Arabidopsis thaliana: one gene and its partners. The protein of the gene in region 3 interacts with the protein of the main gene of each other region in a pairwise test. Each region holds a gene or a part of one and is shown on either strand. Other genes may lie near its edges. The genes, in order: ZFP5, HTA10, AT4G12210 and NAC057.

What was found.
Region 1: the proteins of AT4G12210 (region 3) and ZFP5 interact in a two-hybrid assay, tested with the Arabidopsis thaliana proteins (one large-scale study listed by BioGRID).
Region 2: the proteins of AT4G12210 (region 3) and HTA10 interact in a two-hybrid assay, tested with the Arabidopsis thaliana proteins (one large-scale study listed by BioGRID).
Region 4: the proteins of AT4G12210 (region 3) and NAC057 interact in a two-hybrid assay, tested with the Arabidopsis thaliana proteins (one large-scale study listed by BioGRID).

The regions. Positions count from the first base shown.
Region 1 is NC_003070.9:3,445,305-3,453,589, reverse strand, and holds ZFP5 (zinc finger protein 5), read right to left. Parts: upstream 3,900-8,285; 5' UTR 3,857-3,899; coding exon 3,221-3,856; 3' UTR 2,364-3,220; downstream 1-2,363. Other genes in the region: AT1G10490 (GNAT acetyltransferase (DUF699)), read right to left, coding at 1-1.
Region 2 is NC_003070.9:18,923,503-18,931,255, forward strand, and holds HTA10 (histone H2A 10), read left to right. Parts: upstream 1-3,308; 5' UTR 3,309-3,445; coding exon 3,446-3,634; intron 3,635-3,731; coding exon 3,732-3,941; 3' UTR 3,942-4,244; downstream 4,245-7,753. Other genes in the region: AT1G51055 (FBD-like domain family protein), read right to left, coding at 1,784-2,059, 2,167-2,310, 2,657-2,709, 2,801-2,813; bHLH115 (basic helix-loop-helix (bHLH) DNA-binding superfamily protein), read left to right, coding at 4,516-4,628, 4,733-4,930, 5,191-5,253, 5,357-5,434, 5,517-5,679, 5,748-6,011; AT1G51080 (golgin family A protein), read right to left, coding at 6,381-7,238. UniProt on the Arabidopsis thaliana protein: Core component of nucleosome. Nucleosomes wrap and compact DNA into chromatin, limiting DNA accessibility to the cellular machineries which require DNA as a template.
Region 3 is NC_003075.7:7,277,757-7,285,146, forward strand, and holds AT4G12210 (RING/U-box superfamily protein), read right to left. Parts: upstream 4,164-7,390; coding exon 3,552-4,163; downstream 1-3,551. Other genes in the region: AT4G12190 (RING/U-box superfamily protein), read right to left, coding at 789-1,004; AT4G12220 (uncharacterized protein), read right to left, coding at 5,492-5,983; AT4G12230 (alpha/beta-Hydrolases superfamily protein), read left to right, coding at 6,889-6,960.
Region 4 is NC_003074.8:6,060,528-6,069,373, forward strand, and holds NAC057 (NAC domain containing protein 57), read left to right. Parts: upstream 1-3,744; 5' UTR 3,745-3,851; coding exon 3,852-4,008; intron 4,009-4,144; coding exon 4,145-4,422; intron 4,423-4,980; coding exon 4,981-5,286; 3' UTR 5,287-5,653; downstream 5,654-8,846. Other genes in the region: AT3G17717 (S-adenosylmethionine decarboxylase proenzyme), read left to right, coding at 653-794, 994-1,235; AT3G17720 (Pyridoxal phosphate (PLP)-dependent transferases superfamily protein), read left to right, coding at 1,919-2,017, 2,362-2,553, 2,663-2,956; AT3G17740 (uncharacterized protein), read right to left, coding at 7,476-7,620, 7,698-7,919, 8,109-8,334, 8,454-8,811.

The DNA of each region.
Region 1 (8,285 bases), on a different chromosome or scaffold from region 3:
TTCTCACACCAGTTATTGGTTTTGCCTAACCTTAATTAAGCCGAAATCAAAAATTCAATCAAACACAGGTTTTAGCTTAATGTAGAGTAAAAAGGCAGGAACTTGTTTGAAAATATCTAATGGAACATCTCAATTCGAATAAAGTTTCAAGCTTTATAGGGTAACCAATGAAGCAAAAGTCTCAAAGTTGAGAATAAACGGAGAAAAATCAAGCAAAAGAAACACAAAACCGGCTTCGATTCCTGTACTTACTCGCACTGATTACAATTCCTAACTGTAAAATTAATTCTTTCGTCGGAAGTAATGTTTGTGACAGAGAACGAACCTGAGGATGGTGAGTGAAGCGAGAAGAGAGGTAAAAGAAGCAGCTTGATGTGTGTGTGTGTGTACCAAAGCAGAGAAGCGCGCCCTAAGTCAACCATCGGTCAAAACCTTAAAACCCTAAAATTCAATAACCGACCGGTTTGTTTCTTCTTCACATTTCCCGGTTTGTAGGTATAAGACGGGTTTCTTCTCCATTAATTTTTAGCGGTTACATAAAACCGAATTGAAAAGCAAAGAAAAACTCAATAACAAGATCAACGGTGAATGATATTAAACAACAACAAGAAAACAAGATCAACGGTGAAATATGTTTCATATCCTAAAACGTCATAAGTTACTGGAAGTGATAAAAGAATGGGTTCCTGCACACGACGTGAATCGAATATTTACTATTGTGCAAATAATGATGCACGCAAATAGCCAACTATGCATTAAATTAAGAAAAACGAAGATTTTTACTTGTCTCTTAGTACACGTTTTATAATCACAGTTTCTGGAAGAAGGGTCTCTGATCGGTGTTCTACCAAATTAATTGTCTAGATCAACTGATTCATTTAAAATCAATTTAAATTTCAAAAACTTACATCTAACGCCAATGTTTTAATTATTAGATCAAGAATCATTCAAACTATTAAAGTAACCGATAATCCTTGTCCTTTTTTTTTACGTAGAACATGTTATTGTCATTTTATAAGATACTAATATAACTTAGTCTTTACCTGATATAATAATGTATGTATTGCGTTATGTATAGTTTTATTGACGGTCAAATATAACGTTTCACAATGACCAATCAATAGTTTTTGATAAATAAACTTGCTTTTAAGAAAGCAATAATGTCAATAATAAAAGTTATAATGGAGGCATATATATGATATTTACTAAATTATAATCCATAATTGAAAGAAGAATGGGTGGTACAGATGGCGAAGTCTTGTTCAACAAATGCTTTAATCAATTTAGATCAACAAGCTAACCTTACCTGGCTTGGATCTATCTTTGTCTCCCACAACATTATATAACATTATCTCTTCTTTAAACAAAAATAAATCATTTCAAAACTGATAATTAGTGGTTTATTGTTTTAAGTAGTAAGCAGTCTATCCTCCATTATGATTACATTTCACATGCCATGATAAAATGTTGCATGCATGTATGATAATAACTAAACACATTTAGGTGGCCACTTAGATTTATTTTATTTTTAGTTAGGGAAAATTATCGGTTTTCGAAGCCATATTGACAAGTGTTAAATATGGCATACTAGAACACAATGCGTGACAGAGTCCTCCATTCTGTGATTATAGCCTTCACTTCTTCCGTCAAAAACCTAGAATTTTCAGAATAGTAAAGGAAAAAAGAGATATGTAGGTTGATTTCATATTTTTATATGTCGTAAATGTACAAATTTATCTGTCATTACGTAAATTCCAACTCGGTCATACGCTCGTGTATGATTTACTCATACGTAATGCAAGGAACGATGTTTCAAACTTAACAAAAACATATTTACCAAAATTAGGAAACATACGAATTGGACAATAAAGGAATAATACCTTTTAAAAACATTTTTTTTTTTAATTAAATGGGATAAGCATCCAATACACACATAAGCAAATGGAGTTCCGTTGGTGTCGGAAGTGACATGTGTAGACAAAAATTAAAGGGACCTCCAACACTGGATGATGGATCTTAAGCTTATCATTCCAATCACGCAAATTAATTTAATATACAAACCTGCCGACTCCATTTATTATATGTATTTTTAAAGCTGTACAGTTACGAATTGATGCACATATTTGTTTGGAGATTTAATGGGAAATGTCGAATCAATCTTACACCAAATCTATTTGAAAGAATAAGATCTAAAGTCAAGCTAGTTATATCCACCACTAAATTCACTTATTCTGTTCGTTTAAGGAGTATTCAGAATTTACAAACTCTTCTCATTGTCTCCGAAGAATCACAAGTACTCGTCTTGAGATTGGTAAGAGACATCAGTTTAAAATCTTATTTTTAAAATGTATATTCTTATATTAATAGCCATGACATAAAATCGTCTTTACAGTGTATACAAAAAAAATACAACATTCATAAAATCGTTGGATTGTACCTACAATAAGTATATAGGTTATTAAAAAAAAACATCAAGTTTATATCATTCAAATTCACATATGTTTTTTAGTCTCACGTTAGATCATATTATAACTTTTGAGATGAAATTTCTAACAAATTTTTTGAAATTTGACTATAAATCAAATTGAGGCGTGTACGAATTGCACGTGTAAGAACATATGTACACAACTTGTAACGAATACTCACCTTGTAATATAAATACATGCATATGTACCAATAGGAAGAACGTACCCATGGCCATATACACTAATTAAGCAACAAGAAAGTGATTATGTTCAAAATGTTGCCTCCATCAATTACGCAAATGCACCAACACGGCACACAGTATTAAAAAAAAAAAAAAAAAAACACAGCACACAATGATACAAAGAGATTTATGGATTAACCTTGTCAACTAGTATATGTACGGTCAGCAAACTAAGGAACAAGAAAATGATTTGCTTCCATAGTACGATTTATTGTTATTCCATAATTTATAAATGCTCGATCCTCTACCTGACTTTATTTTGTATCGGATGACGATGATGATCGAGAATTTTCTAGTAAAGCCATCTAATAAAGTTTTTTTTCTTTTTTTGAATAATTCCACAACATCACTTGGAATTATTTTTTTCTTCGAAAACATACATAAACCTAAATAAATTACAAAACTCAAATTGCATCAAGAATACTATATGTCTCGTTTTTTCCCCTTCATGATCCCAATGAAATACGCCACTATAGTACATATAATCTTAATCATATATCTCTCTTTAATTTGTTATGCCGCATCTCCGGCAAAACCTAGATGAAGATCCAGCGAGTTAATACTTCTCATCTGATCAGAACGAGAACTCAGATCTCTCTGGAACTGAATCATGTTCGGTCGAACACCGTACAGCTTACCCATCTCACCGCTTTGTTCATTAAGATCTTGGCACGTGTCATTATTACCGAAGTTAATCTGCGACGACCTCGACGACCAATCTTCGTTGTACACACCCATCTGATCATTATTCACGTGCATGGAGGAGAATGCACAATACGACGGCGTTTTGTATTGTCTCTGAAATGACGTCGTTATGGGTTGTTGGTGGTTGGTGAGATAATAGCCGATGCTGGCTCGCCGAGCTTGAAGCTGAAGCCTCTTCTTCTTCAACCTCTCCTTCTTGTGAGCGTTTTGGTGACCTCCTAAGGCTTGAGAATTTGCAAACTCTTTACCGCAGTATTGGCACTCGTGTCTTTTCATCACTGTTAACGACGTCGTGTTTGTGGACGAGCTCACGCTTTCCGCCGTCGTGATTTCCGGCGTACGACTGCCGCTGATGAGTTCGAAGCCGAATAGCTTTATCGTCTTGTCGGAGGACGAACCTGAAGAACTTTCGCCAGTACGAGACATTGTCGGATTTATAGACATATATGTGTGAACGTATGTGTTTATCGATGGGTTTAATTTGCTTAAGGAGATGTGTAAATGATCTTCTTTATATAGCAAGAGAGAGACGGGGGATATTTAGTTTAATAGTTTGTAACTAATGATGCATTGCATCTGTAATAGTATAATATATTGTATGTCTAAAGAAATTTTATATTGTATGAAGGGTTTTTTATATTAGTCATGAACAGCATCAAGTTATAGTATTTTAGGGTTTATAATAAAATTAGTTGTTTGAATCTAAGGTGTGACGAGAAATGATCTTGGAAAATAAACCTTGATAGGTACAATAAATATTACACTAACATGTAATAGGTTTTATAGAGATATATGTGGATACCACGCGCATATGCATATATGGGAAAGAAAAAGGGCAAAATGATAAAACGGGTTAGAGAAATCTTTTAAATACTATATATAAAGACTTAACTTGTCAACTTGTTTTATCTTTTATCTTATGTATTATACTATTATATCTACATTTACTTAAAATTGATCAAATTTAATTTATTTTAAATATTGTGGAAAAATACTTTCTGTTTAGTGCGTGAATAAAATAGTTAGATTAAGTTGAGATATGATGAATAAATAAATATATTTGAAAAGGCATGCAGCGATCACACCACTTGTGACAATTAATACAAAAGTTATATTCTAAGCTTAAAGAGAACATTAAGATGTTAATATCATATTATTGATCTAATATCAAAAGTCAAAGAAAGATATGAAGAAATAAGGCTAACCAACTTAGGCCAAAAAATATAATCAACATGGAAGGTTAAGTATAATATTTTGATCCCATAATGATATTAAATTTCACTATGTATTTGAATAACGCATATATCCATCATAAATTTAAGCGAGCAGATGACATTTTGTATCAAAACGTTCACTCAAGAGCATATTGCAACAAGAACGAAATCAAACGAATCGTCGTCCCTTGTTCTCTAACAAAGTTAATAGTCTACTGGATATTCTTTTTATTGATGTGTTTTTATGTAATTATCATTGTAGATTTTTGAAATTTCCCATCAATTAAAGTTGCTCGCAGAGAGAATTGATGATGGAGCATGAATTGAAGCTTTCTTGTAATTTATCTCAATGTCTTCCACCTAAACCAAATCTTATTTGTCTAATTACTGTGAAAAAGAAAGAAAAAGCCTATCTTGACCATGTTTAATGAATGTTAATTACTTATTACATTAAACAGGGAGAATAGTTAGTTGCCAAATGAAGGAATACAAGAAGTGGGCAATGATGCAAGCATCTATACTATTTAACAAATAAAAATTATATTCATAAGTCTAATCTTCAAAACAAGATCTTGGGCAAATCTTCATAAAGCATGAGAAGACAATATTTTATACAGAAAGAAAACTGATATTAAAGAAAGGTATAGATTATTCTATTTTCAGGTGAATCAAGTCATGGGATAATCTTATTTTAATACAAATAAGTCTAATGAAATGGCATTTGGTTTGGACAGTTGTTCCAATTAAGGACCCCACTGCTCTGTAACTTAAAAGATAGATCAAGACAATTAAGTGAAATAACAATAATTAATCCTTATTAGGTGTTATAATTATATTCACTCGTACAACCTAAGATCTCTGATTGGTAGACTTTCTTGCCACCAATAGGTGTCTCATGCAATCAAAGCCTCTTTCCTCTCGCTCAGGTCCTTTATTTAAAATTTTGAAGTAAGAAATTGTAATATTATATCAATCGAGGGAAAGAAGAATTCCAAATAAGTATGCTGTCAACGATAATCTTTTATTTATCCAATAGCATGTGGAATAATTTTAGCTAATTATGATTTTCTGAAAGTTTCTTTATGGTGGCTACTAGGTGGGTGGGTGGGTTGGTTTCTATAATATTTGATATACTGAACTTATATATATATATATACACCAATTATATATATCAACCTCACCTTCTATATTAATTGTTACATATATATTTGTATATATTATATTGCCATCGAAGTATCAAACAACTTTACACTAATTCAAAAACCATTCTGAAACGTTAGTTAGTAGTATACGGTGTCCGTAAAACTTATGCAACTTGACCATGTTTAAGTTTTAACTATAGTCTTGACCAAAAAGGGTTAGCTGTCGTATTTGTCTCTTTTAAAGGAAAGTTATATCATATGATCATGGGCTGTGCCAGGTACCGAAGTACGTATCACATATAATAATACATGCATTGAGACATAGAAAGAATACTAATTAACCAATTCTATTTTTCTCATAACAGAGACATTGTATACAACATATTTAGTTATTTACGTATATATAGATTTCTTCTTGTAAAAAGATTTATTGAGAGTTCCAAACACGGGTATACATGTGCAAGTGAAAAACAAAAACTTGCACATGCATGTAGATTGTATTAGAGATGAATTGAGAAATTTAAGTAGGACTAGATTTTATTATTTTATTTTATGTAAAACAGGTTGAATTTACTAACCATTTTAATTATGTTGAAGATAATTAAGTGTATCCAAAGAGGGACCCCACCTTCCCTATTAATAAAACCTTTGCTTCTCTTCTAGACGACTCCAAGAGCACTCTGATAGTTTATATGTAAAAAGAAAAGAAGCCCACCAAGAATGCCAAGACCAGGGATTAAAAAAAAAGTCCACTAAACTTAAATAAATGGTTGTTACTTAAAAACTATTCCAAAGGTTGTTGTTACTTAAACTATTCCAGCGAGCATGCATAATAAGCTAACAACTATAGAGTATATATAACTTGTAATATCCATTATAAAAAAAAGACACATGTAATATCGACGAGAAAAGATCAAAAGATTACGACGCAGATAAAGTAGGATAGAATCCTAGTTTATGTACGTAAACTATTGTTCTTGAACGATGCAGATCTCCAAAGTCAGCCAAAATATCTATGACTTTGATAATTCTATATTTAGACAAATTGCAGAGATTTTTTCTATAAAAAAATAGGCTTGAATCGCAGAGAATAGTGTGGACTAAAAAGCCTGGTTTCTTTAGGTATATGAAATTACATTTCGTTTGGTTAAATTATATTCATTTTTGTTTAGTCTATATTTTCAAAAGTGACAATTACGATATCCATTTTGATTGAAAAGTGTTCAGGGCTTTGGTTGGGTTTAACTGTCCGACCCTAGTGAATATTAATATGGATCAAACACAGACACAATTGGGCCTTCACTAAAATCTTCAGTTTCGGGCATAAAATATAGAAAGCTTCACTACTCCGATTGCCAACCCCCTTTTAGAGCTAGCGCATGCATGTTCATATATTGTTGAGATATATCTGTTAGTTGATTGTTATGTCAAAAATCTTAACTTATGAAATTTTATGTGCTCCTTGTTCTTGACGTTTTTGAAACATTTCTTGCATGAGTGTGTGTGATAATAAGCATAACACATCGAAATAGAAGTATAAACTTCGCAAATAATAATTAACGACTAAGAATAAAAAAAAACTTTGCAATATGGTGTTAGAGCCCACAATTTTCTTAAATTAAGACAAACGAGTAACTTCGTTTTCATCGAGATCAACATGGCCTCATATTGATGGTGAAATTTTTGATACATAAAGCTAGAGAGCACAATTTGGAAGAGAATAATTACTAGCTCACAAAAAAGTCTAAGAATCAATAGGATAGGAGATATAACTCAGACAACATAAGAGTGATACCAAGGAAGGAGAAAGACCAATCTATGTTATCCAACAAATGCTTTGTAGATTAGATATGAGCTTATGTTGACATTAATCTGGATTTTCGGATTTGAGATTCAACTATATTTCCATGTACGTATAGACTAAAATTGAGTTTCTATATGATCCATTGATCCTGTAACAAAATCTAGACGTCAAAATGAAAATATTCAAGTGTACATGATTTTGAGTATTGTATAATTAGGTCAACTAATCAATTACTTTTATTTCTACAAATATATTATACTATGTAGAAAATATTTACAATAATGATTAGAATATAAAGATGCTCCAAACCTCAATCGAGTACCAACATAAAATTAATTAAAGGGAAAATGTCAATGTCTTTAATTTTGTAATTGATGTCCAAAGTTCCTAGAAAAAAGATAGATTACGATTTTATGTGCGACACGTTGATGACTACTTTTATGGATTTTTTTGTTCAACCCTCGATTTTGAGTTGACATCATGAAGATTTGATCCATCATTCGTTGGCCCATATCGTTTGAAAAATCAATTCTCAAATCAATCTTAAATTTCGCGTAATTATTTTATAAAAATGGGCAATATATCCATTGTAAGATTTGTCTATTTCACGCGTCATTTTTCTTTCTACTTTGTTAGATGTTTTTGGTTAATGTAGAAAAACGATTAAATTAGAGACACTATCAATTAGAAGAAACAAAAGTCTTTTGATAAAA
Region 2 (7,753 bases), on a different chromosome or scaffold from region 3:
TCACTTGAAAACTTAACCAATATTAAGTGGAGACGTTTGAGACAGATCAAACGAACATCACGTGGAACATCCTTCAAACTTAGTTTCTCTAAAGTAACAGTATCAAGTTGTGAAAACATGTAAAAGCTATTAGGCAAATCGAAGGAATTAAAAACCATCTCGATTTTTAGCTCTCTCAAAGATCGAGCAACTGCGATGTTAATCAAAGGTTTGATGTCTCTACTTGGACAAGGAGGAGTCATCTTGAGCTGCATGGTCTCAACGCTTGGTCTTTTGCTAATAAATTGCACAAACTTTCAGTAAGTTCTACCTATGGATTCACCATCATACCTTAATGTTTTCCCCTCCTTCCAAAGAGATCGCCATCGTTTTGACAAGACACTTGTGACTACCACATCTTTACTTGGAAGGGAAGAAAGTATATTCAATAACAATTCATCTGAAAAGTCACTGATTGAAGCCATAATTACAAATCGGTGAAAAGTGAAAAGTTCACGAAAAGTACTCACTAGATTTATTTAGAAATCTATTTTTTTTTGTCCCTAAGTGTTTCTTTTGTTACAAACCTCCTTATGAGAAAATTTTGGCAAATAATTGTTTTAACCAATCAGAAAATACCATTATACAAAAATAATCACCAATTACATTAATCCTTTAATTTCGAAGATATCGGCAAAAAGTTGGAAGCGAGAGAAAATTATTGTTGGTTTCTTTGCAAATATAACATGCACAAATCGAGAAATAGTCCAAATGTTTTAGTAAAAAAAAAAAACCACCAATCACAATATTTGGTATTTACCATTCAACTCTTTTTGTTTTGTTACTTTACGCCCTCAACTATAAATACGATTATTCCTCAAAATATTTTCATTTATCATATAAGAAAATAAAAAACCGTGACTTTCAAGTAATATCTCAAATATTGTTAAAGATTTTAGTCCTCTAGATTAGAGCTGAAATAAAAAACTGTGATTTGCAAGATATATTGTCAAAGATGATCAGTCATCTAAAGGTTTCAGTTATCTACACAACCACAATAAACGATTGCAAATTTTCAATCTTTGGCTATCGATCTATATATATAGAGGATGAACTAGGCTTTCAACTACTATGGAACTGTCATGTAAGGCTTACATTAAAATATCTTATAGTCAAGGATCATGTGTAGAACTATGCATATTCATAATTTGCCATTTCCTTAGTTTTTGTTAATCATTTTGTTTTTTTTTTGGTCGCAAAATTTCATGTTTTTTAAAAACTTTTTCAAGGATTTCATTTGTAAGCTTTTCTTCATTTTTGTCTCAGTGTATTAGTTTTTTTTTTTAATTGTCTCTCTGTGTACTAGATAGTTATCATATTAACACTTACTAGTTTTATCTTTATGAATATGATTTCACATCTTATTTTGTAGCGGAACTGGCCTAGTGATATAGATAGAAACTGGTCTTGTGTATTGGTTTGTCTAGTTTATATTATTCGTTTTCTTAGATATATATATTTAATATTAGTTTCGTCCCAAGCGTCACTCGAACCAAAAGGATGGTGACTTCACGAGCCATATAGTTATGTTTATGATTCTTGTCTGTACCGATGCTTATAACAATTGGACTACTGCTGGATACGACATAATTCAGTATTTGCAACAAGGCGTTGAGAAGCAAACGAGAAATTTATTGATAAACCAGAGTAGACTCAAAGTAGAACAAAGTCTTTATTTGAATCAATGAAAGATGCATATTATTCTCTTTGTAAATAGCTACAAAGTTGTTAATAACACAAGCGTTTAATCAAACACAAGCTGGCATTTCTTTGAACCTCTGGCCATACATTCTAACTCCTTCAATATCCCATGCTTTTCTGCAGATTCTAAGTAGAATATCGCCTTCTTTAGACGACTCGCGTTTTCTAGAATGTACTTTGCAACTTCTCTCTCTTGCTCTTCACCATTGTATTGCCTCCACTCAAATATCTCAAGATATGATGATAAACATATGGGAACATAATCTGGTTGCTTCCATGGTTCCATCGACTCGTTGTACTCGACACAATGTTTTCGATACTACAGAACAAAGAAAATATACATTCTGTCAGTGTCAATAGGCCTTGGAGAAAGTGGAAACATGATACAAAAAAGGCAGCAGAGAAATCTAGGGAGGAACCATATACCAATTTGAGCTTGAGAACTCGAAGTTTTGGAGCATCATCGAGTATACAGGTAAGTAAGTTCCACCACTCCGTAGAACATAAACATAGCTCCAGATGGTCAAGATAGACTAAGGAAGTCCCAGTAGGAGGATACGGATCCGGATTCTGCAAAACATAGAGAGTAAGAATTCAAATAGAAAAGGCTAGATTCATGACTAACAACCAAAAAAGTTTGTACCTCTGAAGTGACAGAACACAGAGAAAGATATTGGGTTGAAGCAAGAGATCCTAGAAACTTGTCAACACACTTTTAATCTGAATATAAAAACTAATCAAAGATATGAATACATAACTCCTTTTGCTATTACAAATTTCCATTAGAAGAGATAAAGATCAGTCATTAACTAAGTAAGTAACTAACCCAATTGTTAAGTTTTTTTAAATGAATGATGGGACTTGATTCTCTTTCTTCTAAAGTTTGATTTGTTCTTCTACTATAATGATCAGCGACCTTACGAGCAAAATTCTTTGTGTTATCATCCTCTTTTAAAATCTCAGAATCACCTGATGAAAAACCAGAGAGACACAATGCACACAACTCTCAGATATAAAAGATTGAAACTTTTAAGTTTGATTCAGAAAGCAAATTACAAACCACAAAGATTCATATCATATAATGTCAATCACTTACTGGAAACTTCATATAAAATCAAAATTGAAAAAAAAAAACTGAATTCGAATTATGAAAATCAAAAAGGAATGAAGCGGGAACAAAACCTTGGGGATTTAGTTTGAATCGTGATGAAGAAGGAAGATCAGAGCTTGAGGGAGATTCGAAATTTCCTCGCTTCATAACAAAATCTGAGAAATAGATTTGAAAAACAGACAACACTAGGTTACAAAAACTGTTACTCGATGAATAAAAAAAGAGGACTTTTTCAAATCTTCACACACAAATTTCACAAAGAACCCGGATTCAATTTTTGAAAATTGGGCTCTTTGGTAAAATGTAAAACGTTTGGGCCGAAAAAAGAAGAAAAAAACAAAACTGTAAAGAGGCAAAGAGGATATTTTGGTAATTCACTCTGACGCGGATCCTGAATCTCGAATTATTCACCGTTGATTATAACATTATCTAACGGTGATAAACAGCGATCCGCGTAGTTTCTTCTTATTGGTTAAGACGAATCTAAAACAGTATATAAACTCTGGAGAAGATGGAGAGAGTCCATAACAACAAATTCGATTCTTATAACTGTTTCCCTCTCATCTTTACACAAAAGTATTCTAATCGATTTCAATGGCGGGTCGTGGTAAAACACTCGGATCTGGGTCTGCGAAGAAGGCAACAACAAGAAGCAGCAAAGCCGGTCTCCAATTCCCTGTGGGTCGTATCGCTCGTTTCTTGAAGAAAGGCAAATACGCCGAACGTGTTGGTGCCGGAGCTCCGGTTTACTTAGCCGCCGTTCTCGAATACCTCGCCGCTGAGGTAATTCCTCTTCCCTATTCTTCAAATTTTCGATCTTTTAGTTCAATTTCTATAAACCCTAATTTTGACTGATTTTGGGGAAATTTTGAAAAATTAGGTATTGGAATTGGCTGGAAACGCAGCGAGGGATAACAAGAAGACGAGGATTGTTCCAAGGCATATTCAATTGGCGGTGAGGAACGATGAAGAATTGAGCAAATTGCTTGGAGATGTGACTATTGCTAATGGAGGTGTGATGCCTAACATTCACAATCTTCTTCTTCCTAAGAAGACCGGTGCTTCCAAGCCATCTGCTGAAGACGATTGATTAATCAACCAAATCCACTCTCTTGTGTTTTTTGAGTTTTTAAGGCTTTTTAAGAGTAATTTAGATTAGATCTATGGTGAAGAAAGAATCTATCTTCTGTGTTTTTTGAATTGAATTGAATGTTCATATGCTTTCAATTTCTTATGGAATCAAGATTTTAACTTTTCTAGGTTTTCGAGTTATGATGATGAAATTCTTAGTCTTATAAATCACTAAAGACTTGGGATTTTTGATTGGTTGACATAAAGAATGGACTTTTGAGTTAAATTTGGGAAAGCTACTGGGAATGACATCATGAGAGGTGTATAATTGAGCAACTATGACATATATTAAAAGAGATCTGAAGGATTGATGATGATTGGTGGGCCAATAATGTACAACATCCATGAAAATGAAAGATCAAAATTATATAATAGAAACCGATTGAGAGAGAAAGAGAATCCATGCCTAGCACTATACCATATCTCTTTTTTCTTCCGTTTTTCCACACATTGTCTCTACCTTTCCCTTTTTCAGATTTGACCCTTTGTTTTCAAAAGAAACGATTTTTAGTAGCCGCCGGGGAATCAGGAGAATGGTGTCTCCGGAGAATACGAACTGGCTTAGTGATTACCCTTTGATTGAAGGTGCTTTCTCTGATCAGAACCCCACTTTCCCTTGGCAGATAGATGGCTCAGCTACTGTCAGGTTAGTTTTTTGTTAATCAGATTCAAGGGTTTCTGGGTTCTGTGTTTTGTTTCTTTCACCATCTATTAGTTTTGTTTCTTGGCTTTGGACTTTTGGTGTTTTAGGATTGGTAGTTATATCTGGAGAAGTTGTTATGGATGTGTGATCACTCAGTTGGTTTTTAGATGCTCTTGTTGTGATAGAGATATTGGACTTCTGCATAAATCAATCCTCTGTTTTTTTTTTTGTCTCCGTTTTGCTTACGTTCCTCTGTTTCCTAAAGAAGTAGACGAATCTAGATCTCTACCAATTGCGAAAGGAAGGTTCTGTAATTAGTATCTGGAGAAGTTCTTTATGGAGTTTGACCTTGTTGATCACTCAGATTGCTATTAAATGGTCTTCTTGTGATAGAAATATGAAAGAACTGAGAACCTAAAGTATAATGCTTTTTCTCTCTGTTTTGCATCCATTCCTCTGTTTCCTTAAGCAGTAGACGAATCTTGCTTCTATTCTGGAATTCTACAAATTGGCTGTAATCTTTGTAATTGATCCTTCCTCTTGTGTTGATGTGATCTGTTCACAGTGTTGAAGTGGATGGCTTCCTTTGTGATGCAGATGTGATCAAAGAACCAAGTTCAAGGAAGAGGTATCAAACGCTATTTGGTCAAACCTGCGTTAACTAATGACTTTCTTGTTCTTGCTATGCAATATTGGAACCTGTTGTAAAGTTTTCCTTCTTACTGCTGCAGGATCAAAACTGAATCTTGCACTGGTTCTAACTCGAAAGCTTGTAGGGAGAAACAAAGACGTGATAGACTAAATGACAAGTATTTTCTTGCTTTCTCGTCATTCTCTTCTATCATTTACCTTTTGAGTTCTTAATCTTTTGGTATGGTGCTTTGTCAATAGGTTTACGGAGTTGAGTTCCGTATTGGAACCTGGGAGAACTCCAAAAACAGACAAGGTTGCTATTATCAATGATGCAATTCGCATGGTGAATCAAGCAAGAGATGAAGCGCAGAAACTAAAGGACTTGAACTCAAGCCTCCAGGAGAAAATCAAGGAGTTGAAGGTAAAAACTGAAAACTCCTGCAAGATCTTTAGCTTGTCCATTGATCTTATGTATATGCCAATATGTAGGATGAGAAGAACGAGCTGCGTGATGAGAAACAGAAGCTTAAGGTCGAGAAGGAGAGAATCGATCAGCAACTGAAAGCTATTAAGACACAGCCTCAGCCTCAACCTTGTTTCTTACCAAATCCGCAAACACTCTCTCAAGCTCAAGCTCCTGGAAGCAAGCTTGTCCCTTTCACAACTTATCCCGGCTTTGCAATGTGGCAATTCATGCCTCCTGCTGCTGTTGATACCTCACAGGACCATGTCCTTCGTCCTCCAGTTGCTTAAAGCTGCTGCTTCTCTCTACTACTATTAACGGTTCTGTAAGATTACTTCTTACGCGCTTTTTTCTGATGTAATGATTCTCACATTCTGTGATTGGTGACATAGTCCACTGCAACTTAAAATGTAAAATTGAAATAAGCTTGCACTAAAAATCAAATCTCATTGTGCAAAAAGTTGGATAATTTGGAAATCATTGTTTTACAGATTGTGGATTCAGAGGAATATGTAAATGTGTAGGAAGTTTCTTTGAATTGATTGATTGATTCAAGTTTAGCATATAAAAGCAAAGTTTGTATTTTTCAATTACACAAACTCAAAAAGGATTTGCTTTTTGCTTCCTTTTGTGAAATGTTCTTAACCCAAAGAAACTTTTCATTGAGACCTTCTCTTGTTCATGACTTTCTTCAACAGACTCTCACGACCAGGAAAAGGACTTTGAATCTTTGGCTCAAGTTGCTTCTCTACATCTTCTAGCTTTCCCAAAACACCCTTCTGCTCACTTCTATTCACTGTCTTGCCATCATCTCTCCCAAGACTCTGTCTCATCCTTTCTCTCCTCTGTTTTCTCCTCCATCCATTCTCATCTTCCTCTTCTTCCTTCTTCTTAATCTCTCTTCTTCTTACCATTTCTCCTCTCTCTTCTTCTTCTTCGTTCGCCTTCCTTAACCTAGGAATCCGACCACCTTTGCTTGTCCCTAAAAGCTCAAAATTGATTTTGCTCCAACCAATCTTATCTTCATTATCCCAACCAAATCTCTCACTAATCTCCAACAACATCGAAACAGAGTTTACCTCTTCTCTACTCTTCCTTACAGAAGTTAAAGCTCTCATGCTCTCATCACTTCCATGGAGGATTTTCTCTGCAAATTCCCACTCAGTTCTATCTTTATAAACATCGTCTTCGAGCACTTCATCAGCAAGCTTTGCCCAATACTCAAAAACTCCTGCACGAAGATTCTTTGAGACCCATTTAAGATAAGAAGAAGGCAAAGTACCAAGCATTTTGCCCTTGTGTTTGCCGAAGTCTATGATTGTGTCTCTGGCGGCTAGGGTTTCGATGATTTGAAGTTTTTTGATTAAGGGTTTAGACTGATTGGTGGAGAAGATACCATTAGATGAAGAAAGATTTCTTCTTGGTCTGAAAGATGATGATGATGAGATTCTGAAGATGGTTTTTGTTGTTACTGCAGCAGAGTGAGGACTGTGGAACAAGACCACCGAGAAACTCATTGTTGTGTCCCCAAAATATTGTCTATTTTTTCTTGAATCCTATAAAATACATTTAGGGGGTGTTATTCGTTAATGGATTTTAATAGAATTGAAATTCAACACTAATTTACTGTTATTCAACTAATGATTCTAAATCTAGCTTTAAAATCTAGTATTATTGGAACTCATATTTGTAAATCATGTTTAATAGATTTTAAAGTTTGGTGTTATTCAATTAAGATTTTAAATATTTCATTAAAATCCAATGTTATTCAAAACTAAAAGACTTGTAAAATCTTTGTATATTAATTGATTTGAAATGAAATCTCTTTGGAGTTTCATGAGTAAATCATTAGAATCAAAATTCAAGACATATTGCAGAGATTTTGAAATTCATACAAACATATTCTTAAAAGCAATATCAGAAAACAAATCTAAAGCTTAAAAAATTGACTTTAACTCCATAATATATTATGTTAGTCTATTTTGGTATCCAAAAAATCTTATTTGTTGTAGGCAACGGGAAGTTGATTAAA
Region 3 (7,390 bases):
CTTCATAGCTCGCTATGTCTTTCAAGCTGCCGTTTATACCATCTGGAGGGAACGTAATAACCGGCGGCATGGTGAACTACCAAACTCACCGGTACGTCTAATCAGATGGATTGACAAGCAAGTACGAGATCGAATTTCATTACTCAACACAAGCGGTGACAGAAGATACGTGACGGGATTACAAGTTTGGTTTGCAGCAAGAAGTTAACTTTTTTTTTCACTTTGATCAAAGTTGTATTTAGCTTTTTCAAACACACGTTGCACTGAGTGTACAAATGACACCTTTCTTTTGAATCTAATTTAACATTACATTCAAAAAAGAAGATCAAAAGCTTCATATATAGAAGAGGTGATTACGGAAGATCAGAGTCCGTGCTCATCTTGGTATTCTTTGTTTGATGGAAGCTTTAAAAGATTGAAGAAAAGGATGGAAACAAATATGTTGAAATAGCTGAAGTGATTTGTGCTGTATTATCCAAAGAGTTGAAATTTGCAGAAGGACTTCATGTGAGAGGTGAAACAAATCACATTGAAGAAGACGCATAAGGAATCATCATTTAATTTCAGCAACAGCTTGATGTGAAAGGGTATTAAAAATTTCAATCCTCTTCTCTAACTGTGTTAAGCCCTTAAAAACAACAAATTACATTCAATTTCTTGAACTAGTTAAAGAGCGTGCGTGACACAAAATTAGAATTTCTAACTTCTATTGGAAACCTTAATACTCAAAATTACATGAAATTTCCTTACATAAAACCCTAATTTCAATCTTTTTTTGCAGTCATCAATCAATCGTAGAGCTCAGTCCGACAAAGGGGACAAGTGTTCTTACGCTTGAGCCACTCTAAAAGACAGCCATTGTGGAAGACATGAGAACAAGTCATGCGTGTGATGTCCCTAGGTTTAGGACCGGAGACTAGACTCTCGAGACAGATGGAACACGGCTCTGTTTCCATCTTCAAACTCTTCAATTCCTCTGTTTTTATTCTCCCTAGCAGAACCATCCTCAATGATCTCTCGTTGTCTGACGTAACGGAGACGGTCAGGTAAGTAACTGTAGCGTCCACGGTCAAGGTAAAGCCGTTGCGCCCAAAACCTAAGTCTATTGCAGCCGTTGAGATCTCTGTGGCTAAGTCATCGCACAAGTAACTCCAAAAGGGGTATCCGACTAATCGATCGTGGAGAAGCGTTCGGATGTGGTCGTGACTAGAACTACAGAGATTGATATTGATGAGAAAAGGTTCTGAAACCTGAGTCCGGCGGGTTTGGCGACCGGTTGTTTGGTCTTCAATGATCTCTTCAGATATGTTTTCGACGCTTATGATGACTGGTTTAAGTTTGAGTTTGGTTCTGATGGAGAGAGTCCCCTTCCACTGACGTGAACTTCCATTTCAAGAGAAGTCATGTTTTGAAACGAACAGAGAAAATCCCAAAGAAAACAAAATCAGAGGAGATTCACACAAAGAAGAAGTCGAAAATCGTAATGAGAGCAAACTGAGAGAAAATTGAGAGAGAAGAGAGAATTGTGAATAGCTTTAGTTAGGGTTACGTAGTGACAGAGATATATAAAGCGTGTTCACGAAGAAATTTCCTTTTTTTATATATGGGCTTTTAATTTGGGTCGACAATTTAACTTGGGCTTTTAGTCCTGATGGATTATGGGATGAGATGCATAATCTTGTTTATGGCTAATTAGGAGAAGTTTGGTTCTTAATTATGTGGTGTGGTTTTGTTTAAATATGCTTGGTTCAATTCCGGTTAACCTTTGGTTAACTGTTTTGTCTCTTCCTGTTTTGTTCTGTGACGTTACTGTAATTTCACTGATAATGCAAAACAGAGAGACGTCGTTTGTTTGCAGTGATGGCTCTGGCTTTTACGGAAACTTCAGTACTCTTTTCGTTTAATTTCATTGTAATTCTTCTCATATAATAGACCTGTGTATGTTCTAGCTTATGATAGAGCACTGTAAGACAATTTACGTTTTTTGTTTTAGTATTTTTTTTTGTGCACAGAAGTTGTTCGACGAAATGACTGTTAGACAGCTACTGGTATGATACAAGTTGTAGACAAATACTATATGACTACTTCTTTAGCTAGGAGGTTTTACTTGAGAGAAAAGTTGCATAGTTTTAGAATGGGCGAAAGCAAGTCTGTTATGGAGAACGTTGATGAGTTTCAGTGGTTGATTGATGAACTAAGTAATGCTAAAGTAGAGATATTTGATGAAGATCAGGCTATATATTTGATGATTTCTTTGCCAGAACAGATTGAAAAGTTTGATGGGAGAGGTGATTACATTTTGGGGAAGACGAAGATCCTTGCTCGTTTTGAGATTCTTGATGTGATTGATGCTTTAAAGATTGAGGAGGATGAGAACAAATCTGTTGGAACAGATGAAGGTAAGAGTCATTGTGTAGCTTTGAGTCTAGATCTAGAAGAGAAGAAGAGAAAGGCAATGAGCATGATTGTTCAGAGCGTAGAAAATCAGAATCTGCGAAAGAAACTTATGAAGGAGAAGACAGCTGCTGGTATGTTATATGTTCTCGACAAACTCTACATTACTAGCTAGATCTGCTGGTAGTGTAGAGTGTAGGACTGGCAGGACTTACCTACAATATAAGCTGTGTAGTTTTAGGATATATGAAAGCCAGTCTGTTGAGGAAAACATCGATGAGTTTGAGAGATTAGTTGAAGACGAAAGCGATACGTTTGCTGATTTCTTTACCAAATTAATTTGATGACCTTACGCTAGACGAAGTGATTTGTGCTGTACTATCCAAAGAGTTCCAAAGGATATAAAGAAACTGCAGAGGAACTTCATGTGAGACGCAGGTCTGTTAGTAGAGATAGGTCAAAATCCAAAGGAGAGAAAGGGGCTTGCTGGATTTGTGGGGAAGATGGCCACTACAAAAACGACTGTCCATCTAGGAACTCTGAGAAGCCGAAGGAACATGCTTATAAAGCACAAGAAGCATCTGTTCCAAGAAGGAATAATGCTTGAGCATTTTAGGAAGAATTATACTTTGTGGGAAGTGCCAATGTATGTATCTCTGTAAGTGTCAATATTTCGTAACTTTGATTGGTGACTAGCAAATATGTTGAAGTAGCTGAAGTATTATCCAAAGAGTTGAAATTGCATAAGGATATTATAAAGACACACTGCAGAAGGACTTCATGTGAGAGGTGAAACAATCACATTGAAGAAGACACATATGAATCATGATTTAATTTCAGCAACAGCTTGATGAAGGGTTTTGGTTATTTTGTTAAGAATTTAAGAGTTGCAACTTGCAAGTGAATAACTTAAAACCGACAAAGTTTGTAGTTTTTTGTTGTGATTAAAAACTTCTCTAATTGAGTAAAACTCTTAAAAACAACAAATTACATTCAATTTCTTCAGCGTGTGTGACACAAAATTAGAATTTTTTTCTATCGAAAACCCTAATTTCAATCTTTTTCTAACTTCTAATGGAAACCATAATTTCAACCTTAATACGAAAATTACATGAAATTTTCATACATAAAACCCTAATATCAATCTTTGGTTCCAGTCATCGATCGTAGAGCTCCGTCCGACACAGGGGACAAGTGTTTTTACGCATGAACCACTCCAAGAGACAGGGATTGTGGAAGACATGAGAACAAGTCATGCGTGTGAGGTCGCTAGGTTTTGGACCGGAGACTAGATTCTCAAGACAGATTGAACAAGACTCTGTTTCCATCTTCAAACTCTTCAATTCCTCTGCTTTTATCCTTCCTAGTAGAACTATCCTCAAAGATTTCTTGTTGTTTGACGTTACCGAGACAGTCCGGTAAGTAACTGTGACGACCACGGTGATGGTAAAACCGTTTCGTCCAAAACCTAAGTCGATAGCCGCCGTTGAGATCTCTGAGGCTAGGTCATCACACAACCAATGGTGGCTAGCGAATCGGGTACGGAGAAGTGATCGGATGTGGTCGTGACTAGAACTACTGAGATTGATAGTGTCGAGACAAGATAGAGTAGCCGGAGTGGACCGGCGGGTTTGGTGATCGGTTGTTTGGTTTACAAAGATCTCTTCAGATTTGGTATCGATCTCAACGATGACTGAGTTTGCATGTGATGGAGAAGAGAGTTTCCTTTGAAGATTGGTGAAGCGAAATTCCACTTTGCGAGAATTCATGTTTTGAAACGGAAAGAGAAACAGAGAAGTAGAAGAAGAAGACTTGGCAAATCGTAGTGACTAGCGAGAGCAAATTGAGAGAGGAGAGAATTTGTGAAGCTTTAGGGTTACGTAGTGAGGATATATATACGCGTCTTCAACGTTCAGATATTTTAGGTTCTAGTTTCCTTTTTTTCTCTGTCACCTAACAATTTCCTTTTTTTTTAAGAAGTTTCCTTTTTTCCTTTTTAACAGTTTTATTTGTAGAGTTTGATTTGAAGGGGTTTTGGTTATTACTTATTAGTTTAAGACTTAGCAATAATTATTGGTAAGTTTTTAGTGGGTTCTTAAATTAATTTGAGAATAAAATTAAATGCTAAAGGATGTATTAACTTAAGAGGGCCTCTTATACAAGAGGCGAAAAATGATGGTAAGAGACGATGATGTGGCAAACTATGTGTGGGCCATGGGAAAATACAAACTTCATTCTACGAAGACTAATATCTTAAGATGTGCAATGAAAACAAATCAAAATCCTTGAAAGGCTTAAAGCCACAGAAAAGTAAATCAAACTAGTTTCAATACCTCTATGTCAAGAACTCAATGCAATCCAGAGACTTAAAAATCATACTTTTGTTGGCGACTTGATTAGATTCTGCTGGGATAATAAGCTCTGACTGCAAATTGAGGACGAATACTTTATTGAGCAACACATGTACTTCCAAATTGTATTATAGCCATATTTAGCTCAATACACTCCCTGTAACACAATATAAGTAGGTCTCAGCCTCAAAGTCTAGCTTTTTAACTCTAAAAATGCAGAAAGCAATCATTTTTTTCTCAAAAATTTGTTTTGATTATGAACTCTTAAATACCAATTATGAATCTCTTTTATATCTTTGTGTCAATACACCAAACACCACCAATTACTTCATCGCATATATTCCTTCTCTCCACAAAACCACACATAAACCAAAATCATATCTTTTTTTTTTTAAGAATCCTAACTTAATATACTATCATTGAGGATGACTAAACTTAAAAATCTTACCCAAACTCTTAACTACCAAATTTTCAAAATCTATTCCTAAATTATTGCTAAGAGCCATTGTTAATAACCTCCCATTAATGATGGTCCAATGATCTTATTTAAAACCCTTAAAAGCACAAAATTACATTCAATTTCTGGAAGCACAGAGCGAATGAAACAAAATTAGATTTGAAACCTTAATAAACAAAATCACATAAAATTTCCCCAATATAGAGCGTACGTGTGACACAAGTTATGCAATCAGTAGATGAAACCCTAATACTTTCAATTCTTAGAACAAGTCATGCGTGGGAGATCGCTAGGTTTCGGACTGGAGAGATCGTGGAAACAGATGGAACACGACTCTGTTTCCATGTTCGAACTCTTTAATTCCTCTGCTTTTATCCTCTCTAGTAGAACCATTCTCAATGATTTCTGTGTCGTTTGAAGTAACGGAGACGGTCCGGTTAGTAACTGTGACGACCACGGTGAAGGTAAAGCCGTTTCGTCCAAAACCTAAGTTGATTGCCTCCGTCGCGATCTCTGGGGCTAAGATATCACACAAAAAATGGTAGCTAACGAACCGACTACGGAGAAGTGATCGGATGTGGTGGTGACTAGAACTACAGAGATTGATAGTATCGAAAAAAGATGGTGAAGCCGGAGTGGACCGGCTGGTTTGGTGACCGGTTGTTGGGTTTACAAAGATCTCTTCAGATTTGGTTTCGATGAAAACGAGAACTGAGTTTGGTTGTGATGGAGAGAGTTTCCTTTGGTTGATGAAGCGTAATTCCACTTTGCAATATTTCATGTTTTGAAACGAAAAGAAAAACAGAGAAGAGATTCAAACAGAGAAGAAGACGACTTCGCAAATCGTAATGAGAGAAAATTGAGAGAGAAGAGAATTGTGAATAGCTTTAGGGTTACGTAGTATAGTCACATATTTCAGGTTCTAGTGTCCTTTTTTCTTGTCATCAAACAAATTTCCTTTTCTTTAAGAAGTTTCCTTTTTTCCATGTGTTTTGGGTCGATAATTTACTAAATATTGGAGACAATGTTAATTCCAGGTGGATATATGTTACTTATTTCTTTTAACTGATTCTCGATTAATTTTAAGAGTAGTACGTAAAATAGATCTTTATATTTTTGGCAACCGATATTAATTAGAATTCAAAATAGTTAATCCCAAAAAATATTGTTTACATATATGGTATAATACGGTTTGATACGAATCTTTCGTGCTAAATTATCTACTTTTACATTTGCACTATGAAAAATTAAAAATAAAGAAAAGTTTGTGCATTTTTCTGCAATTATTCCAAATATATTAAAAATATGGGTAATTCGGTTGGGAAAGACAGATCAATAAAATGAAAGAAATTATATCAAAATCCAAATATTCTTGGAAATTGATTCATACCGAAATCTAATCAAAACATATGTGAAAATAGATGTTGATGAGTCACATGATGACCATTAATTATTACATACTTTACGTCGTTAACTGAGAATGACTGCTACAATCACGGACCATTCACGGCGTCAACGTTGACAGGCAGTTGATATAGGAGACTCTGTTATCTCGCCGTTATATAATTCCTATCGAAAATCAGAGCAAAAAAAAATAAAAAAGATTAATTGCAAAGTTGTTCGTGAAGAGCAAAAGCGAAATTAAATACATAAATTCGATCGGATGTTGAAAATCTCCGATCGGCGATGAAAGGCGTCTCTTCGACGCCCGGAGATTACGTCTACTTTAAATCTCAGGTTCCTCTTCACAAGATTCCCGTATGTTTCTTCTTCCTCTCTCTCTCTTTGACTTTTGATGAATTTTCGATTCTGCATTCTATTCGGCTACTAAATTAGGTTTAATCTCGAGCTTTTGAGGTTTTGATTTTTGTTTTTTTTTTTGTTGATTTTCGATTAATCTCATGTGGGTTTTAATCGTTTGGGTTTATGCAGAATTTTTTGTGTGAGTAGTTCTATCGTAAATGGGTTTATCCTGCTGAGTTTGGGTTCAAATTTTATGCTTAGAATTTTAATTTTTGGGTTCTTGTCTAAAAGCAAGAACTTGGTAGTCTTTAGTTTAGTGATGGGTATTCTCCATTTTTGATCTTTTTAACTTCTGTAGATTCTTTTAGTGTTGCTTTTGATTTGATCTATGAGTAGCCTGTGACACACTTAGTGATTTGTCTTTGTTTATGTTCGCATATTTAGT
Region 4 (8,846 bases), on a different chromosome or scaffold from region 3:
AAAATCTCAATTTGATACCCTAATTTGTTTTTTTTTTATCGGATTAAAATAAAAGAAAACGAAATTGTTCTTTGAGGAATTTGTTTTGCCCTTTTATAAGATTAAACCCCAAATCTTCAAAGACGCTACTCTCTAATTCTTAAGATAATCTCCAGAATCACGAATCTATCTCTCTCGTTTCTCTCTAATTCAATTCCAATGGATTCGCAAGTCCAGTTCTTTGAAGGTGTCGAAAAAAGAATTGAATTCGATTTTGCAGGAACGAATCTCCGCGATGAACTCAACCGAGCCGTCTTGGAGAAGATCGTCAAACCTGTGGAGTGTGTGATCGAAGGGGTTCTTTCCGGAGATCACGTAGACTCGTATCTACTTTCGGCGTCTTCTCTATTTGTTTATGATGATTTGGTAATCATAAAAACTTGCGGTGCTACCAAAATCTTCGAGTGCATCAATGGGATTGTTGCTGCGGTGGGTTGGAATAAGCTAAGATCCATCAAATATACCCGTGGGTCTTTTTTCCGACCCGATTTGCAGCCATACCCGCATCAGCGACCTTGTGACGAGAAAAGATGTGTTAGGCTCGTCCCTAAATCATAGTTCTCTTGGAGGAATTCAAGAGAAGACTTTGGGTACGACTCAACAATGGTTTATCATGAATGTCCCTTTGTCTTCTTCATCTACCACCGGCAAAAAACTACCAACGATTGAGATGTGCATGAGAGAATTGGATAGAGAGAAGGCTGCACAATACTACAAAGATAGAGACGACGGCAGAACCATGATTGATAAGTCAGGTATATAATCATACCTTGATTAATGTTTCTTGACTGATTTCTGCTTATTGAGTCTCCTGAGCTTATCTTTTTACGTTTCTTGTGTTTCGCTCTTTGCTAAATTGTAAATTGTTGCCGTGAAAAGTAGTATAGTTCTCTAGTTTCTTTCTTTCTGACTTTCATATTAACTTATCAGAATTGTGTGACTTTTCTCTTTTAGGTGTTGGGCAAATTTTCCCAGAGGCTACTGTTCATGCCCATGAGTTCGAGCCCTTTGGGTTTTCTATGAACACTGTAGAAGGATTTGCAATTTCGACCATTCATGTGTCCCCACAGCCAGAATCAAGTTATGCTAGTTTCGAAGCAGTTGGGTATGATATCAGCACAGATGAGAAGCTGAACTTGGTGATTGAAAGGGTCTTGAGCTGCTTCAGACCAAAGCAATTTACTGTGGCTATCTAAAATGGTGGAGAGATTTACCCCCAACTTCAGGGCTACAACTGTACGGAAAAATTCATTCTCCCACTTGGCCCAGGTGGTCCAGTCTCCTTTTTTACATTCTTGGCTGTCTAAGTCTCTGGTTCTTTAGTTAGGATTCTTAGGGTTTTTTTGGTTTATTCTGGAGTAATTCTTAGTCTTCTGTTTTGTTTATGACAATTTGTTTTTTGAAAATATATAAATGGAAGATTTTGACACATTGAGCCGTTTACATTACAGCCCACATTCTGTAGATTCAAAGAATTAAAAGTAATTGCAGGCTGCAGAGCATGACATGATATGATTAAGTTATGAACAAATCATACGAAACTGAACAAGTGACCAATGAAACAAAACGCTAAAACACATCAAATAGTATACAACAAGGTCTCAAATATTTCCCCACTGAGAAGACTTTTCTTTTCTGAGAGGGATTCTTAAGAGCTTCAGATGAAGAAGGGCGTTTCTTTGGATCAACATGGAGCAAGTGTGCTACTCTCCTGAGATATTAGAAACACAAACCTATTACACCATTTCGAATCAAATTCTACAACCATTACTGATTCCGGCGGCGAGCAAAGCCAATTCTGACGGTGAAGAGAGGCAAAATCTGGGCACGAGCAGCCGCAAATTTCCAATCAAATTATTCTCAGCCGATCTCAGACGCCATGACTGGAACGGGACAAAAGCTTAACATCCGACGACGGGTTGGAGAGGTAAATTCTTTGTCTTTTTGTTGTTTATCTCCGACACCGACAAGCTTAGACGTCAAATTCATAGTTTTTCTGTTGTGTTGTGTTGATGATTATTTCTGCCTTATATTGAACATTCAATACCCTTATGAATCTGTGTTCTCCTTCTGTAGTGCACCTGAAGTGGAGAAAACAATTTGAATGAAGCAGAGATATTTAGTTAAATCTGATGGTAGTGTAGGTGTTAACGGATATGTTTGTGAAGTGATGTGCGACGCTATGGCTGGAAATACGAAGATGTCACCAGTGGTGACTCACCACTGAGCTCCAGGTTCTTCTTCTTTCCTCTCATTCTCTCCCCATCTGCTTTCCACTTTTTTGCAAATGGTCATACATCTTTTATTTGGCCTATTTTTCAGAACCGGTGTGTAAATATGATAGCAAACTTGTTCCATGCTCCTGTTGGACAAGACGAGGCTGTTATTAGTTGTGGAATTGTTGCTTCATCTGAGTCTGCTGGTTTAGCTTTCAAAATGAAATGGCAACATAGGAGAAAAGCTCAGGGTCTACCTATTGATAAGCCTAACATTGTTACTGGAGTCAATGTTCAGGTCTAAATATTTACTTATTCTTATCCTCCAAACCATCACATTTGCTTTGGATAGTGATCTGTTTCTTTCAAAAATCAGTACATTTTCAAACTTTGTTTCATCCGCTCAGGTGTGCTGGGAGAAGTTTGCAAGGTACTTTGAGGTAGAGCTCAAAGAGGTGAAACTAAGTGAAGACTATTACGTGATGGACCCAGCTAAAGCTGTAGAGATGGTGGATGAGAATTCCATCTGTGTTGCAGCGATTCTAGGATCCACATTTACTGGAGAGTTTGAGTATGTGAAGCTATTGAACGATCTCTTAGCTGAGAAGAATGCAAAGACGGCTTGGGAAACTCCTATTCACGTTGATGCAGCAAGTGGAGGATTCATTGCTTCCATGGGTGAAGAGTATCAATGTCAGTGATCATAAGTATGGACTTGTGTTTTATTGTTCCGTGATCACCAAGCTAAGAGTCATCAACCCACAAACCATAAGCAACCATATGGTTGGTGTAACGACAATTTGCCTCCAAATGAAATAGTGACAGTTTCACAAATGCCAATATAGCTTAATATTAATGCGTAAAGTGGGAAAAAATATTTTTAGTGTCAATAAGCCCAAATATATTAAACTTTTAGTATATATATTAAGGGGCCCAAAATGTTTTTCCCTAGGGCCCTAAATATCGTTGGGCCGGGACCTTACTGTACTACTTACCACTACAACCGCAGAAAGCAGCCCAAATTCCATGTATGTTTCATTTTCTACTTCATAGTCACAAACTAGCTTGAGAGTCAAGTTAATGTTGCTGATACAGAGTCTTTCTTTTACTCTCTAGCTAGTTCCATATTTGTCTGTATGATGGTGCTAACTGCTAAAGGTTGGACTAGGCGATTTGCTTCATCTGATCACATGTACATGTAAAGGCAGATATATGTCTATAACTATATAAGTATATATTATGCTAATAACGAGATCAAACGTGATCCTTTTTTTATAACGAAGGAATTGCAAGGAGCTTGCAAGTAACGTTTGTCAAGAATCTCCAAAAAAGATAAAGCGAAAGATAAAAACAACAAAAAGAAGAACGTCCAGAAAAAAGAAAGAAAGAGAGAGATATAATAATATAAGTAAAGAAAATTTTAATAATTAATCAATCTAGTGACCATATAAGTTATTAATGTATGCGGTCAAGAAAGAAGAATATATATATATATATATATATATATATATAAGTTTGAGTAAGAGAAGATAAATGAGGTGAAGTCATAAGTACGTACCCAAGTCCCAATATTGTTAATTGTCTCTGAGAGTTATAATGGCTCCAGTCGGATTACCTCCAGGCTTTAGATTTCATCCGACTGACGAAGAACTCGTAAACTATTATCTGAAAAGAAAGATCAACGGTCAAGAAATCGAGCTTGATATAATTCCCGAGGTTGATCTCTACAAATGCGAGCCATGGGACCTCGCAGGTATGTATGTTTTACATTTTTATTACATTGTTCAACAACTATATATAATTCCTTGTTCTTGGCGAATAGTCTTATCGCCGCGCTATATTGATATGAACTGATTTTTAGTTGTTGTGATCGATAAATAAAACTGTAGAGAAGTCGTTTCTACCAAGTAGAGATCCGGAGTGGTATTTTTTTGGGCCACGTGACCGGAAGTATCCGAACGGGTTTAGGACGAACCGAGCAACGAGAGGTGGGTACTGGAAATCGACCGGCAAAGATCGGAGAGTGACAAGTCAAAGCAGAGCGATTGGGATGAAAAAGACTTTGGTTTATTATAAAGGAAGAGCTCCTCAAGGGATCCGTACGGATTGGGTTATGCATGAGTATCGTCTCGATGATAAGGATTGTGACGATCCCTCTTCGCTCCAGGTAACTGATCGTTCTTTCATCACTCGATATCTATTTACCAAATGATAGTAATTAGTAAATATATAGTTACTAATATGATCAAATTGTAACTTATATAGAAACAAAAAAGATAATTACGTAGAGATGCATGGCTACTAAACAACAACAACAAAAAAAAAGTAACCAACTTGAGATTTCTCCATTTCTTATAGTAGATACGTTAATAGAAAGATATGTGTGAATTTTCATATACTTTTTAAGATTACCCTGATTTAATGATACATATTCGTTTCTTGCTGTAAGCTGACAAAAGCTTAGGGTTTCGCTTTGGATCTTTACTGCGACGAAGACAAAAGCTATATAGAATTATTTTTTTCTTCAAGAAAAGCTATATCTTATTCATTAATTGTTCATTATATAAGACAAATATTCATGTTCTTTTTTTTTTATCACTCATACTCATGCATGCATGTTCTTTTATTTACTTATGACTTTCATATACTCGAATGAATACCAGAAGATATTTATTCAAGTATATTTAAACATTCTAAGATTGAAAATATAAATGGTTTGCTGCAGGACTCGTATGCATTGTGTCGGGTATTCAAAAAGAACGGAATATGTTCGGAGTTGGAATCAGAACGGCAATTGCAAACGGGACAATGTAGCTTCACAACGGCGTCAATGGAGGAGATCAATTCGAATAACAACAACAATTATAATAATGATTATGAGACAATGTCGCCGGAGGTGGGAGTTTCCTCCGCCTGCGTTGAAGAAGTAGTCGATGATAAAGACGATTCGTGGATGCAGTTTATAACAGATGACGCATGGGACACGTCATCAAATGGTGCAGCTATGGGACATGGTCAAGGGGTTTATTGACTAAAGAACAAAGAGTATACTGAGGCAACAAGAGAAGAGTATAGAATTATTGGGCAAATAACGTAAACATTTAGGTACACTATTGTTGTACTTATATATAATCGTTGAAATAAAACCTGCGGGTTGTTGGGGTAAAACTTAACTGATTTTTTTCTTTCTAATTGTTGGAATGTGTGGGAAAATCACGTGATTTGATTGGATATTGTATTTTTTTTTGTTTTTGTCTTTGTTTTTCATACTCCCTTTTTTTGTTGGATTGATCATTTTATTATCCATTGATTTGACGGCTCTATGGATCACTGGTACCTTTGTTCTTTTTCCTCACATGGGTATTAACCAGATCAACTTAATGGATTGGGAAAATTTGGGTTTATACTTTTATTTGTTCTCTTCTTCTTTTTTCAATTATACAATAACGTGAAAACCAAGTCACACTCAACTTTATAGGTCAGATATTTGTTGTCAGTGAAATTTGGCAACTGACCATAACGACAATCGATAGGGAATTCCAACAGACATCCAATGTATTTTAATTCGAACTTTAATGTATGGTAATAGTCTAATAGAAAAAATTTAAACTATTATCCTATTTTACCAAAAAAAAAATCAATGATCATATATTCCCCAAGAATATATAAAAAAAGTAGTGAAATGTTATCAAAACAAACTTTAATCATATTTTTTTGGATGGCTTCTCTATATTGTATAAAATAACAGGACTAAACAAGTAAAAGCAGAAAGTGAGGGGTTTGATGAAGTGTAAATCTAAGATTCTGATTTCACTCTCTTACAAAAAGAAGATCCCTTGCCTTGCGATCAAGGAGATTGGTCTTTCTTTCTTTTCACGCATCTGTAATACTTGCGATCATCTCGCTTTCCTCTTTCACACTTTGTAAATTCCAATAACCAGAAAAGAACATCACTACTTATACATTTCATATCCCTTTAACAAAACTATCTATATATATGCTCAGCTTCAACTTTGAAAATCCGCTCGACATATATATGTTTGGCGTTTACAGGTACATCTTCTAATGTGGAACTTCTCTAAATGTATCTCCTAATATGAAATTTGCAAAATGGGTCTTTAAAACCCTTGACGTGATAAAGTGACTTGTATGTTCTTCTTATCTTGTAGATATAATTTATGACAAATGTATTGTTGACTGATTCTTGAACCTCTGCGATGTTGTAGGCCTCTTAAGAATGAACGTTTTGTCTAATCAGAATCTCAAGAACGTTTGTCTCACTACAGTCCTCATCTACATGGTTTCCCCAAAATAACGTTTCGAAAGTATAACTTTGTTTTAGGCTGATTAAAATATGATACTATTAATAAAATATGATACTATTAACCCAACATTAAGAAAAAAGTTGTAAAAAATTCAAGAAAGCTCATGTACTATACATCGTCGTTTATTCAGAGCATATAAGAAATTTAAACAAAATCACCTTTCAAAGAAGGGAAAAGGTATTATAGCTGCTCTCTGTAACAAGGAGAGCAGAAATTGCTTTTAAACTTGATGTGATTCAAAAGGAACCGAGATCAAATTAGGAAGATAGACACAGTAAGAAAACTGAAAAATCCCAGAATTGATCTGAATCTTCTTGAACATATCTCCCCTCACCATATAGATGCAAGTAGCTCCAGTTTTGTAATCGCCACAACACATGATTATGGTCTTGTCAAAGATGAAGTAAGTAATACCAGAAAATTAATGGAATAGCAAGGGAAAGTCAGGTATTGACAGTGTCAGTAAGTGTAACCACACCACGTCATCCTTATTACTAATGTTAATCTTGTCCTTTGTTACCCAAATCTCTGTATTCATATACGAGTTTGCTTTAACAATGCAAATCGATCGCCCTTAAATACAGTGATGACAAGTTTATCTAGTGAGCCAGAAACACTTCTCACAAGGAGGCAAAAGAGCATCGATATTTCCGTGGAGGAATCAAAGCTTCCGAGAAAAATACTCACGAGTCTCTTGTAAGCAGTCCAATACAAATTTCCGTTCAAGGAAACATATTCACTTAAACCTGCCAACATTGGCCAATTTTGGGGAGTCAATGAACTTATCGAGTGAGACGCACACTCATAAATACTTAAATGAACTTATACTTGATTATTTATAGAAAATCACGTTTCCATATTACAACAATATTTGTTAGTTGACACTTAAATGATCTCATCCCTGCATAAGCAGAATCTCGTAGATATCTGTCCTAATGTTCAGTTCCTTGTCCCGCATCACTTCTTGTAAATCTGACATCTCTTTTGCCGTCAAGACTGATCCCAGCTTCCCAAACCCATCGAGCCATAGTTTCTTCGACCTGCCATGTCATTATGTTAAGAATTGGTTCTCAGACAATATGAGAAATCTGGAGAAAGAACTCTAGATTTTTCTTACCATGGGCATGCATTTATAGCTCGGAAATAAATCCTTCTAGCTGCTGATGGATTGTCCGCGATGTCGATCTCATATGCTATGTAGCAACGCCATAGAATAACTGAGTTGTTTTGTGTATCTTGTGCCAATGCCCTTTCAAACAATCCGCGGATTCTGTGTGATGAGCCTCCTTTACTCAATTCATAAGAAAGTGCAAATAGCCAAACAACGACAGACGAATTCCTGCATGATTAGATATACTAAACTTGCTTAGCACTGAAATGTCGATATATATAAACCTTGTTCTAGGAGGAAGGCCATAAACATGTAACTGTTAGTCTTTAACCATTTAAGCTAAGCATCTCTATCAACATTAGGCAGTACTCCTGAGATCGGAGGGTTTCTTATTAACAAGTTTGTGAAAAAGCTTACTTGCGGGAGTAGTCATCGAACATCATTCTCAGTTTATGGGATGTCATCCGGTGATTACAAATGTCCACCAAAGCTCGATAAAGTTCAGGATTGAGAGGATACAGTTGCAGTCCCTCTGATATGGGCTTCCAAAGTTGTGACAAAGTTAGATCGTCCTGGTGTCTCTGAAGCATTCTCACATAATAATTGAACAAGAGTTCAAGTTGATGACTTTGACTTTTTCTTCCTGAAAAATTCACAATAGCCCAAATTCAGATATACAGTGGATACATGCTTTTAAGAGAAATTCATATGGAAAATAGTAAGTGAACCCAAGAATACTGATCATGGAAATAAGTAAATAACCTGGAAGAACAGAACTGAACATGTGCTCTAAGATCTCAAGAGCACCAGGAAGGTCATTTGTTAACTCCTCAAATAGAGCTGCCGAACAAACAAGCGCTGCTGATTGATCATCTGTGACACCATGAGACCATGTTGATTGTATCTTCTTAAGCTTCTCTCTGAACCCCTGGCGTGCTCTAAGAATTTGCATGCTTGAAGACTGGGAAGTATAAGGACTATAAGCTAGACCACTTCCCAGGTAGCACAGAATATGCATAGCACGAGATGATGATTCTGTATCCCTACCACTGCCGCTACTATTGGCTACTTCCGATTCAGCATACCATAAACATAGCAAAGGAGTGTTACACTGTAATTCCTGCAATCATAGGTGAAATAAATTTAGCATGGCTT